Neurospora crassa OR74A: one gene and its partners. The protein of the gene in region 1 purifies or fractionates together with the protein of each later gene. This does not show direct contact. Links are inferred from orthologs where the notes say so. Each region holds a gene or a part of one and is shown in the gene's direction. Other genes may lie near its edges.

The links.
Region 2: the proteins of rpn-7 (region 1) and pcb-4 purify together in Saccharomyces cerevisiae (affinity purification with mass spectrometry; 4 studies listed by BioGRID). This does not show direct contact. The link is inferred for Neurospora crassa OR74A from reciprocal best matches to the Saccharomyces cerevisiae genes RPN7 and PRE1.
Region 3: the proteins of rpn-7 (region 1) and rpn-1 purify together in Saccharomyces cerevisiae (affinity purification with mass spectrometry; 6 studies listed by BioGRID, with this or other methods). This does not show direct contact. The link is inferred for Neurospora crassa OR74A from reciprocal best matches to the Saccharomyces cerevisiae genes RPN7 and RPN1.

Annotation. Positions count from the first base shown.
Region 1 is NC_026506.1:2,285,566-2,289,388, forward strand, and holds rpn-7 (proteasome regulatory particle), read left to right. Parts: upstream 1-1,449; 5' UTR 1,450-1,805; coding exon 1,806-2,270; intron 2,271-2,350; coding exon 2,351-3,165; intron 3,166-3,248; coding exon 3,249-3,447; 3' UTR 3,448-3,764; downstream 3,765-3,823. Other genes in the region: NCU03971 (mRNA cap guanine-N7 methyltransferase), read right to left, coding at 1-1,007. UniProt on the Saccharomyces cerevisiae protein: Component of the 19S cap proteasome complex which acts as a regulatory subunit of the 26S proteasome, involved in the ATP-dependent degradation of ubiquitinated proteins.
Region 2 is NC_026505.1:3,792,709-3,796,332, forward strand, and holds pcb-4 (proteasome component C11), read left to right. Parts: upstream 1-1,555; 5' UTR 1,556-1,784; coding exon 1,785-1,786; intron 1,787-1,842; coding exon 1,843-2,000; intron 2,001-2,074; coding exon 2,075-2,324; intron 2,325-2,410; coding exon 2,411-2,612; 3' UTR 2,613-3,049; downstream 3,050-3,624. Other genes in the region: NCU01367 (rRNA processing protein RRP9), read right to left, coding at 1-1,024. UniProt on the Saccharomyces cerevisiae protein: Non-catalytic component of the proteasome which degrades poly-ubiquitinated proteins in the cytoplasm and in the nucleus. It is essential for the regulated turnover of proteins and for the removal of misfolded proteins.
Region 3 is NC_026504.1:2,086,965-2,090,564, forward strand, and holds the start of rpn-1 (26S proteasome regulatory subunit rpn1), read left to right. Parts: upstream 1-936; 5' UTR 937-1,319; coding exon 1,320-1,449; intron 1,450-1,521; coding exon 1,522-1,592; intron 1,593-1,658; coding exon 1,659-3,600. Other genes in the region: rbg-40 (serine/threonine-protein kinase RIO2), read right to left, coding at 1-476.

The DNA of each region.
Region 1 (3,823 bases):
GAGTTCGGGATACATCCTATGAACCGACCACCCTTCTTCAGTGCACCGGCCACGTTCTTCAGCATCTGCCGCGCCTTCGCCTCCGTCTCAAAGGCGTAGTGCATGCAAAACATCATGCTGACCACATCAAAGCCCCGATGGCTGGGGCCACCAATGTTGGACGACGCGAACCCGACCTGCCGGATAATGTCAATGTCCTCAATCGACTCGCCATAGCAGTCCTTGACGTGGAATCGCGCCTCAAAGAGTGGCGGCTGTCTCCTATTATAGCCACCCCGTCCACCCCTGCCGCCATGACCGCCACGAGCCACCATACTTCGATACCGATCGCGCGCCTGGTCGATAGAGACATCTGCTGGGTCCAGCCCAACATAGAGCTCTACGGGCTGTGGCGCCTGCTGCCATTTGCCCAAATCACCGCCCTTGCCGCATCCAATGTCGAGCACCAACAGCTGATTGTTCGAACTGATTCCCCGCTCACGAGCGCCAGGCGAGTGGTCTTCGTCAGGAGAAAACTTCTGGATGATACAGCTCTTGACCCAGTTGTTGAAGGAGCGGAGACCTTTGATGCGACTGTCCGTCTTACGCCAGTCACGGCCACGCTCGGGCACAGCATTGTAATGGGCACGTACGACGTCATTGACCGCGTTGCGGCGCTCAGCTTCGGCGGCCGCTTCTGCCTCCCGCTGAGCCTGGCGCTCGCGCTCCATCTGACGTTGACGAATCTGTTCGCGCTCGGCTTCCGTGATGCGGGCACGTTGGCCAGGCCGCTTCTGCTTTCTAGGCTCGCCGCTGGTAGTGGGGGTTTGTGTTCTCTTGGCCGGAGCTAACTTGCGGGCATCAAACGGCTGTGGGAGGACATCGTTGTCGTCCTCATCTTCGTCATGCCTCGCAGACTTGTATCGACGGTCTTCGTTGCGGCCATTGCGGTCGTCGTCGTAGGGCGATTCTGAGCGTTGCCTCTTGCGAGTGGACCTATAACTGGTGTAACCATCGTAGCCTGACATTTCTGGAAAAAACTGTTGGTGTGGTCTCGCAAGGAGACTTGATCATCGGCAAGAACAACTATGGCAAGCGTACAGGCTTCGTGTAACAGCAGAATAACTGATGCGACGGTGAGTGGTGTGAGTTGTGATTTTGACTGTTGATATCGATTGATGCGAGTACAGACACAGGCAAATCCTGAAAGTGAATTCTGGGACTCGAAATTCGGTATGTCGAAGTTGAAAGCTCTTGTTATTGTTGTTGTTGTTGTTGTTGTCGAGGAGAGAAAGCAATTGGAAAGGAAGTCGGGATGCAAGTGTTTTGAGGATGCAAGCATGGGTCGGTCGGTGTTTGAGCCGATGAAGTGTGCCTGCCCGGGCACTGTTCCAGCGGCTCCACTTGCAGGCCTGGCCCGCCTTCCAAGCTCTGTCTCCACTTTCCAGTGCTGACGCGCGAGCTCTGGGGGCCTTGGTCACTCTCCAGTGAGGTCAGCTACTCTATCGACCTTCCGAACCATTCAAGGAGCACCACAACTAAACCACAGACATCACCACCACCCAGCCTCACCTCGACCCGGCATCTTTGGTAGAATCACAGCGCCAGGCCAAGTCACACATTGCGATCCAGTTTCCAAGAGCTTTCAACACCGCGAAACTTCCCATCTTAAGCCGGCATCCACCTCCATCAGCTGCTTGCCGATTTCCAGCGGGGTGCTTCTACCAGACGACGGACACTGACCAGCACCGGACCGTCTTCCATTTGCATCCTCCTCTCCCATCTCCCTCCTTGGCTCGTAAGCTAGCACCCATCACAACTACAAAATGGGCTCCGATCCTCAATACGCGAAATGGCCTCTGCTGCCCCTCGCCCAGCATGTCTTCACCCTCACAAACCCCTACGCCGCCCGCCCTGCCCAACAAGCGGCCGTTAAGAACCTTCAAGATGCCATCACCGAGCACAAGATGGCGCCCTTTTACCGATACCTCGCGCACCCTACCGAGGGTGTCCTTAACTCTGTTGGGGAAGGCGGCTCCAACACTGCCGGTGCCGGAAGGTTGGGTAGGAAGAGCAGCATCGCCGCCGGCATGATCGCGACCCACAAACCCACCACAAGCTTAAGCCTACCGTGGGATGAGAACCTGTACCAGCAGCTGCAGGCCGAGAACGAGAAGGAGCTTGAGGAGTTCCAAAAAGAGGAAGATGAGGCTGTCGAGAAGGCGGGAGACACAGAGATCCAGGCTGCCAAGGGAAAGAGGGCCGAGTTCTGGGCCCGAGTTGGCGATAAGGTTGGTCACTACAAGTTCACTTAGCTACCCATCCACTCCCACCAACCGACATATACTAAGCATACACTCTTCCTATTCAGGAAAAAGCCATCGCCGCGCACCAAGATCTGCTCGAGAAGACGAGCATTCTAGGTACCAAGATCGATCTCGTCCTCGCCTTAATCCGCCTCGGCCTCTTCTTTGGCGACAAGCAGCTAGTCCAGAAGACTGTCGAGCGCGCCAAGTCGCTTGTCGAATCGGGCGGCGACTGGGACCGTCGCAACCGCCTCAAGGCCTACGAGGGTCTGCACTTGCTCACCGTGCGCAACTACAGCGGCGCCGCCCCCTTGCTCCTCGACAGTCTGTCCACCTTTACCTCGTACGAACTCTGCACCTACAGCAACCTGGTGGTCTACGCCGTGCTCGCCGGTTCCGTCTCGCTCAAGCGCGTCGACTTCAAGTCCAAGGTCGTGGACGCCCCCGAGATCAAGGCGATTCTTGGCGACGGAGAGGACAAGCTGCTCGCACTGACCGGCGCCATCTCGGCCGGCCCGGGAGCCGACGCCTCGATGCAGGACGCCGATAACGCCCCCGTGGCGGCCCGGACGGCTGTAGTTAACCTGACCACGCTCGGCAGCAGCACGGAACAGCCTGAGGCGGAGATGGCGGTCGACTTTGACCCGCTCGCGCAGCTGGTTAGCAGCCTGTACAACGGCCGGTACAAGCTCTTCTTCCAGGCGCTGGCCCTGGTGGAGGAGCAATTCCTCACCCAGGACCGCTACCTGCACGAGCATAAGAACTGGTTCATCCGCGAGATGCGCCTGCGCGCGTACCAGCAACTGCTGCAGAGCTATCGCGTTGTGGGACTGGATAGCATGGCCAACGACTTTGGTGTTACCGTGGATTTCTTGGATCGGTTGGTTTTCCCCTTGTTTTTGTTCTACCCCTCTTCCCCCCGACACAAGTTCTATATATACTGATCGTACATCACAAAAACAGTGACCTAGCAAAGTTCATCGCCGCCGGCCGTATTCCCTGCACCATCGACCGCGTCAATGGCAAGGGTGTTATCGAGACCAACCGGCCCGACGACAAGAACAAGCAGTATCAGGACGTGGTTCGCCAGGGTGACCAGCTGATTACCAAGCTGCAGAAGTACGGACAGGCTGTTCGGTTGAGGGGAAGCGAAAGGGCGTAGTAGAGAACCAACTTGAAGAGAGTTAGAAGCTAGCAGTGAAACAAGGGGAAGGTCAATGATGTATAAGCGAGCTGTGCTATCGTTAGCGATTACCTTGGGAAGAAGGGAAGGGGATATGAATGATCAAGGGCATGGATTGAGTGGATGGATGAAAGGCGGAGAGAAATCAGAAGAGAATAGAGCCTAAAGCAACCTATCACATTAAATTGTCGTTAGGGCCTAACTCGTCTCTAGTAAGGACAAATGACACAAAACGACTTGCTCCTCATTGTCACGGATATTGCATCATGTGTTCATAAGACTCCGTTTCTTCTTGTCCAGGCTTTTTTACTTTTGTATTCGTATGTCCCTCGTATCCTGGATAAGGCTACGTACA
Region 2 (3,624 bases), on another chromosome or scaffold:
AGCGCTCGCCGGCCAGAGCGTCGATGTCGGGGATCTCATCCTGGTGGCCGAAGAGTGTTTCAACGTAGGCGAGCTCGTCGAGCGACCAGACTTTTACTGTCCGGTCCTTGGAGGCAGAAAATATTTGGTTAGTGCCGCGGCGGAAGGCGAGCGAGGTAACGGCGTCGCGGTGCTGGGTGAAGGCCCGGAGGGGCTTGAGGGTCTCGGCGTCATGGACGACCATTCGCTTGTCGGCGCCGCCGGTGACAACAAACTTGCCGTCGGCAGAGGCCCTGACCGTCAGGATGGCCGCGTTGGTGTGTCCCTGGTATGTCTTGTCCTTTGCCTTGATCGGGTTCGCCCTGTTGAAGCACACTCTCTCGGGTTTCTTCTTGGGCGGCGCAGGCGGCTTCTTTGGCTTCTTCTTGGTCGTCTGTGGCCACTGGTTCTTGGGTAGGTCTTGTAGCTTCCACTTGGTAAGGTAGCCGTCTTTCGTGGTGGTGTAAGCGTACGGCGCGCAAACCGAGACTGATGTTACCGTTCCTGAATTCCATCGAAACTGTGTGTGTGCGGCCTTGTCAAAGTCGAGCTTGGAAGCCAACTGGCGGTAAACCTTGCCCTTGGCCTCGGCCACATCCTCCTGAAGACGCTCGGCCAGCAAATCACGGTCAATCTGCTCGGCGTCAAAGGCATACTCGTCCTCCAGTTCCACCTCTTGTCGTGCCTTGTCCAGATATCGCTGTGCCAATCTTAACCGCTTCTCAGCCGCCGTCTCTCCTTCGTGGTCCGACTCCTCTTCTCCTTCCGACCCGTCCTCTCTCTCAATGTGGTCGCCATCGTCACTGTCAATGTCGCTGCCGGATATCGACTCGTCGCGCTCAACGGCTTTCTTGGGGGCTGCGGGACGTGATTTGGCGGCAGGGCCTCTGACCGACGATGACTTGGCAGTCGATTTGCCAGTCGCAACTCGCTTCTGGGGGGCTTCGTTGGCAGAGGCACGCTTCCTCTTCTTTTCCCCAGCGGGTGCTGTGAAAAAGGACGACATGGTGTTGGCAATTGCGGCCCGGGGCGGTCGGTGCAAATGCACTGGAGTCGTCTGGTGGTAGAGAATGACACTGGAATGTGAATTGGGGTCGCGTTCGGCTTCACTTCAACGCTGCTGCATGGCTATCAAAGTTGAAATTTTTGGGATGGCCGTTCGCGCCTAGACACACCCGACCCGATGGACTTCGAAGAAAAAAAAAAGTTGCCCACCCTGCAGGCTTTCTATCGGTGGAGTAGCACGCCGATTCGTCAAGATCTCCTCCACTGGCTTGGCACAATTGAACGAGTCGGAGAAGGGAATCCCCGTGCCGTGCACTCTACCTTATTGCGTCACTAACAGATATAGGGGCTCTGTCACGCGGAACCGAGCTAGCGAGCTGTTAGTAGTCGGCTGGTGGGGAGGCTCTTGCTGTCTCCAAAAGACGTCCCCGGGCCATCCTGGCAGGTTTCATGACGGAGTGGGGCTGTCTCTCTCGCTGTCTGCTTGCCTGCCCAGTGGTTGCAGCTTTCAGCCCTTCTGGGGACTGGAATGGAAAGATGGAAGACGATAGCGGGCACCTGAACAGCCTGGCCCGTGCTTGTCTTGTCAGCTTGCAGGCTGAAGCTCCAGTGCGCGTTCCCCGTCGCCGTCAGTTCAAGCTCCAACTGCCCTGTCCCGCCATAGGTAGGTAACGACGAGAACCGTGCAAGCCAACGCAACTTGCCAAAGCTTACCAAAACAACAGCATATCATCCATTCACTCACATAACAATCAGCCAAAATGTACGTCGCATCGGTCATGTCTTGGAGAGGTGATATCAGAGCTGATCAGCATGTAGGGAGGTTTTACTAGGCATCACGGGCAAGGACTTTACCATCATTGCGGCGTCCAAGGCCGCTATGCGGGGAGCGACCATCCTGAAGGCATCCGACGACAAGACAAGGTCGCTGAACAAGCACACACTGATGGCATTCTCCGGTGAAGCTGGCGACACAGGTACGGCAGCGATATCGTGATGATGGCGCTTTTGAACCAAACCAAGTTAACCAACTGTTTGTTCCCATCGACAGTGCAGTTCGCCGAGTACACCCAAGCCAACGCCCAGCTCTACTCCATGCGCAACGGGACCGACCTTTCCCCTTCTGCCCTTGCCAACTTTGTCCGCGGCGAGCTTGCGACGAGCTTGCGCTCCCGCAAACCCTACAACGTAAACCTCCTTCTCGGAGGTGTCGACCCTATCACCCACAAGCCCAGCCTCTACTGGCTCGACTACCTTGCGTCGTTGGCGAAGGTCCCCTATGCCGCCCACGGCTACGCACAGTATGTGATCTCGACCGATATCTCTGTACCGTCTTTGATGCGTAGGAGTCATGTACAGAATCACTGACCGGTTCTTTCCTCATCAGATACTACTGCCTCTCGATTCTCGACAAGCACCACCACCCAGACATCACCCTCCACCAGGGTATCAAGCTTCTCAACCTGTGCACCGACGAGCTCAAGAGGAGGTTACCCATAGACTTCAAGGGCATGACGGTCAAGGCGGTAACGAAGGACGGCATCATCGATATCGAGTTCGACGACGACAAGGTGGTTAAGATGGCTTGATTTGTGGGGATGCTTGCTTACTTGCCTGCTTGCGGCTTGGGAAGCCTTGCGGGGGAAGGACAACTCTGTATAATAATACCCATACGACGGAAATGCATGAGTCCAGGTGGCCTCCACCAACGGGAGACCCCTGGCGAATTTGATGATCATAAAGAAAGAGAGAGGAAGAAACAAGGCTATCATGTTAGAGGTGTGAAGTCCGAGAGTCCGTCTCTGCGGCTCCCGGTTTCAGTGTGGCGTGTGGAGCGCGTCTGGGCCGATCATACACCCTGCCACCGACACCATCGCGATACGATACGTCAGGGTTGCTTCTTTTTGATCCTTTCTTCGAAACACTCCTCCAACCGGTCAGATATCGTTACGGCAGTTGAGGTTAAGGAACCTGTTTAACGTCCTCTGGCAATCATGGGCGAAAGTATTATAACATTGAAGCGCACACCGCACTCGGTTTCAATCGAGACAGAGGCTCGACGAGCACTTGAAGTCCGTAGAGGTATTGTGTACCTACCTGAAACCGACAAGCTGTAACATGAATCATGACTACTGGTAAACGTTGAAACAACTAGAAAGTATTTCACATTGTCAGGGAATTGTTGTACAGCCAAATGAGAAGAGCTCGAGCCAGTGAATGGTCAATTCCAATTTCATATGTTCAGTCGGCATCATTAAAAGCACACGCAGAGAAGACGCAGCAAAGGGACTTGAAGGAATGTGCTGAAGTGCATGTGTGTAGTACGAGCCATGTAGTGTATGATCGCTGGCTGACATGACGAGGCCCATTAACACTGAAAGCGGTGAGCGCTACAAGCGTGATGGTTGGTGACTGGTGATACCTTGGGACGACGTGGGGGAATTCAGGACGGAGCCTTTCTGCAAAACCTTCCAAGATAGTACACAACTGTCTCTCTGCAGCTGATACCTACCAACGTACATGTCACCAAAGCGGAGGGCATCAGCGGCCCGATTATGTATGTCGCTGTTGCAACTGTCATCCGAGTGTCTGCTGTCAACA
Region 3 (3,600 bases), on another chromosome or scaffold:
GCCGCAAGCCGCGAGAGATACATCCATGAGCCGCCTTGCCGGTTGCGCAAGTAGTCGCGGTTGGACTTGACGGTACGGAAGGAAATGCGGCCTAGGCGATGGATCTTGAGAATCTTCTGCTTGCCGGTCTTGTCGGCTACGATCATGATGTCGGATTCCTTGCCAACACCCACACGACTGCCAACGCTGTAGACGACATCTTTCGAGGAGTGGGTGTGTAGGGCCAGATAGTCAAGACCGCCGTAGGTCAGTCGGTAGCCGTCGTACTTGGCCTCCTTCATGCGTCCGATGAGGCCAGACTTGGCAAGGGTCGCTATGCTCTTGTGAACACCACTGGCACCGCCCTTGAGACGGGCAATTCTCTCGATCAGAGGGGTCGGGACGAGCTCGTGGTTCTTGCTGCCCATCTCAACGGCAGTCAAGACTCTCCAGTCTTCTGCCGTGAGATGGCGTAAAACTCTGGTGTCCAAAAACATGATTGTGTGTTTCTTTTTGGATGTTTTTTGTTTTTTCCCCTCAGGTGATTGTCGGCCTAATTGCTGTGAGAGATTTTCTGATGTTGTATTGATCCAAGAGAGCTATTAGGTTGCTGTCTACGACGCTCTCGTCAAAGTCAAAGTCAAGGTGGGTGAAGCGCAAAGCTGATGTCCAGAATGGAAAGTGGGCGTCCCCCAAATTCCAAATGCACGGTTGCGATAACATCTTCCCGATAAGATAGGGCTGGCCGTGGGCTCCATTCGCTGAGCTGTGCCTGCCCGGTCAAGCGCCAGGTCCAGGCCAGTAGCTTATCTTATCAGAAGCTTGGGGGGAGCGGAATTTGTATCTTCCAGGCTCTGATGACGCCTCGTCCCCACCGAGGCTTCCAGACCCACTTGAGGCGGGCAGCATTGGATCGCAGGGGCGTTCTCAGCCAGACGGGGGAGCTTCAGGCGGCAAGCGAGTCGCGTAACCACCATCGGAGCTCCCTGGCGTTAGTACCGTAACTGCCACTGACCTTTGCTGGCTTTCAGCAACTGAGGTGCTTCTGGGCGAACCTGCAAAAGCTCCAACCTCCAAAACCGTCACCTGAACAACATAACAACCTCCAAACAACCGCAGCCAGCTCATCCACTTTTGATTTTGACATTCTGCTCACGACTGGAGCTCAAGTTCCTGTCGCTCAAGCAAACTCGGTGACAAAACTTGAACATTTCTTGCAGCAGCGAACGCCACCGCCGCGTCCACCTACCCCGGCCAGCCCAACCGACCTTGGTTTCCCCTCCAACTGGACCCATCGGCTCCGCGAATCCTCCCACCTACAACCATCACGGCCAGTAATCATGGCGCAAGAAAGCGACCTGTCCAAGACGGCCGATAAGGGCAAGGGAAAGGCCGTCGATGACGAGAAGAAGCACCAAGATGTCGATGGAAAGACCCCCGCAAACGGAAAGAAGGAGGAGGAACAGAATGGTGGGTTTCTCGGCCACTCCGACCGACTTGAGGTATCGGCGCCGGGCTTCTGCTGACAGCGCTTTGCGTTAGCTTCCGAGGAACTCAGTGAAGAGGATCAGCAGCTCAAGAGCGAGCTTGAGATGCTCGTTGAGCGGCTAACGGTTGGTGCTTCGCAATGACGTGATACAGGCTGAAGACCGGCTTCTCTAACAGTACAATGTCTTCAGGAATCCGATGCGACCCTCTACAAGCCGGCCCTCGAGGCCATGAAGAACTCTATCAAGACATCCACATCCTCCATGACGGCGGTACCGAAGCCGCTCAAGTTCCTGCGCCCGCATTATGAAACCATGACGAAACTCTACGACGAGTGGCCCGCTGGCGATGATAAGTCATCTCTCGCAGATGTTCTATCGGTGATCGGTATGACATACTCGGACGAGGACCGCCAGGATACTCTGAAATACAGACTTCTTTCCCCAACACAGGACATTGGCTCGTGGGGTCATGAGTACGTTCGCCATCTCGCCCTCGAGATTGGCGAGGTCTACGCCAAGCGCATAGCCAATGATGAGCCGACTCAAGAGCTGGTCGATCTTGCCCTGGTTCTGGTGCCGCTCTTCCTCAAGAGCAACGCTGAAGCCGATGCCGTCGATCTGATGAGTGAGCTCGAGATCATCGAGGAGCTTCCCAAGTTTCTCGACGAGAACACCTATTCGAGAGTCTGCCTGTACATGGTCTCCATGGTCAACCTCCTAACCTATCCTGACAACGAGACGTTCCTTCGCGTGGCGCACAGCATCTACAAGAAATACAACCAGCACACCCAAGCCATGGTGCTTGCGATTAGACTCAACGATCTTGGACTCATCGAGAAAGATTTCGAGGCGGCGGACGAGGATCCTGCGCTTCGCAAGCAGCTCGCTTTCCTTATCGCGCGCCAGGGCATTCCATTGGAGTTTGAAAGGAGCAATGATGACGACGAAAAGATCTACGAGTGCCTTTCCAACCAGAAGCTGTCGGAGTATTTCAAGTCGCTCGGGAAGGAACTCAACATCTTGGAGCCAAAAACGACTGAGGATATTTACAAGAGCCACCTCGAAAGCAGCCGTGTTGCTGGTATGACCAACTTTGATTCTGCCCGACACAATCTTGCCGCCGGCTTCGTCAACGCTTTTGTCAATGCCGGCTTTGGGAGTGACAAGATGATGCTCGTTGGTAAAGACAAGGACAGCTGGGTGTGGAAGACCAAGGATGAGGGTATGATGTCTACAGTGGCGTCGCTGGGAACCCTGCTCCTTTGGGACGTCGAGAACGGTCTTGACCACGTCGACAAGTATACTTATCTCGAGGAGGAGCAAATCCAAGCTGGCGCATACCTCGCGATCGGTATCATGAATACTAACGTTAGGACGGACTCCGAGCCCGCGATGGCCCTGTTGGCTGATCCCGACAAGCTTGCGCACAAGAACCCGCTCATCCGCGTAGCTACCATTATGGGTCTCGGACTGGCATACGCAGGGTCCTGCAAGGAGGAGCTTCTCTCGTTCTTGGTCAACATTATCAGCGACCCTGAGGAGAGCATGCAGGTGTCGGCTATGGCTGCCCTGGCCTGCGGTATGATCTTTGTCGGCTCCTCCAATTCCGAAGTCAGCGAGGCCATCGTGACTACCTTGTTGGACGAAGAAAGTGGAAGCCGCCTCAATGACAAATGGTCCAGGTTCCTTGCGCTTGGCTTGGGTCTCCTCTATTTTGGTCGCCAGGAACAGGTGGACGTTATTCTTGAGACGTTGAAGGCGGTTGAGCACCCTATGGCGAAGCCAACTGCTGTTCTTGCTGAGATTTGCGCCTGGGCTGGCACCGGTGCCGTCCTCAAGATTCAGGAGCTCCTTCACATTTGCAACGAGCACATTGAGGATGGAGAGGAGAAGAAGGGCGAGGAGTTGCTTCAGGCCTATGCCGTTCTGGGTATTGGCTTGATTGCCATGGGCGAAGATGTTGGACAGGAAATGGTTCTCCGCCATTTTGGTCACCTTATGCACTACGGCGAAGCTAACATCCGACGAGCGGTGCCGCTGGCTATGGGTCTTATCAGCCCCAGCAACCCTCAAATGAAGGTTTACGACACTCTGTCACGGTACAGCCACGACAATGACAATGAAGTGGCCA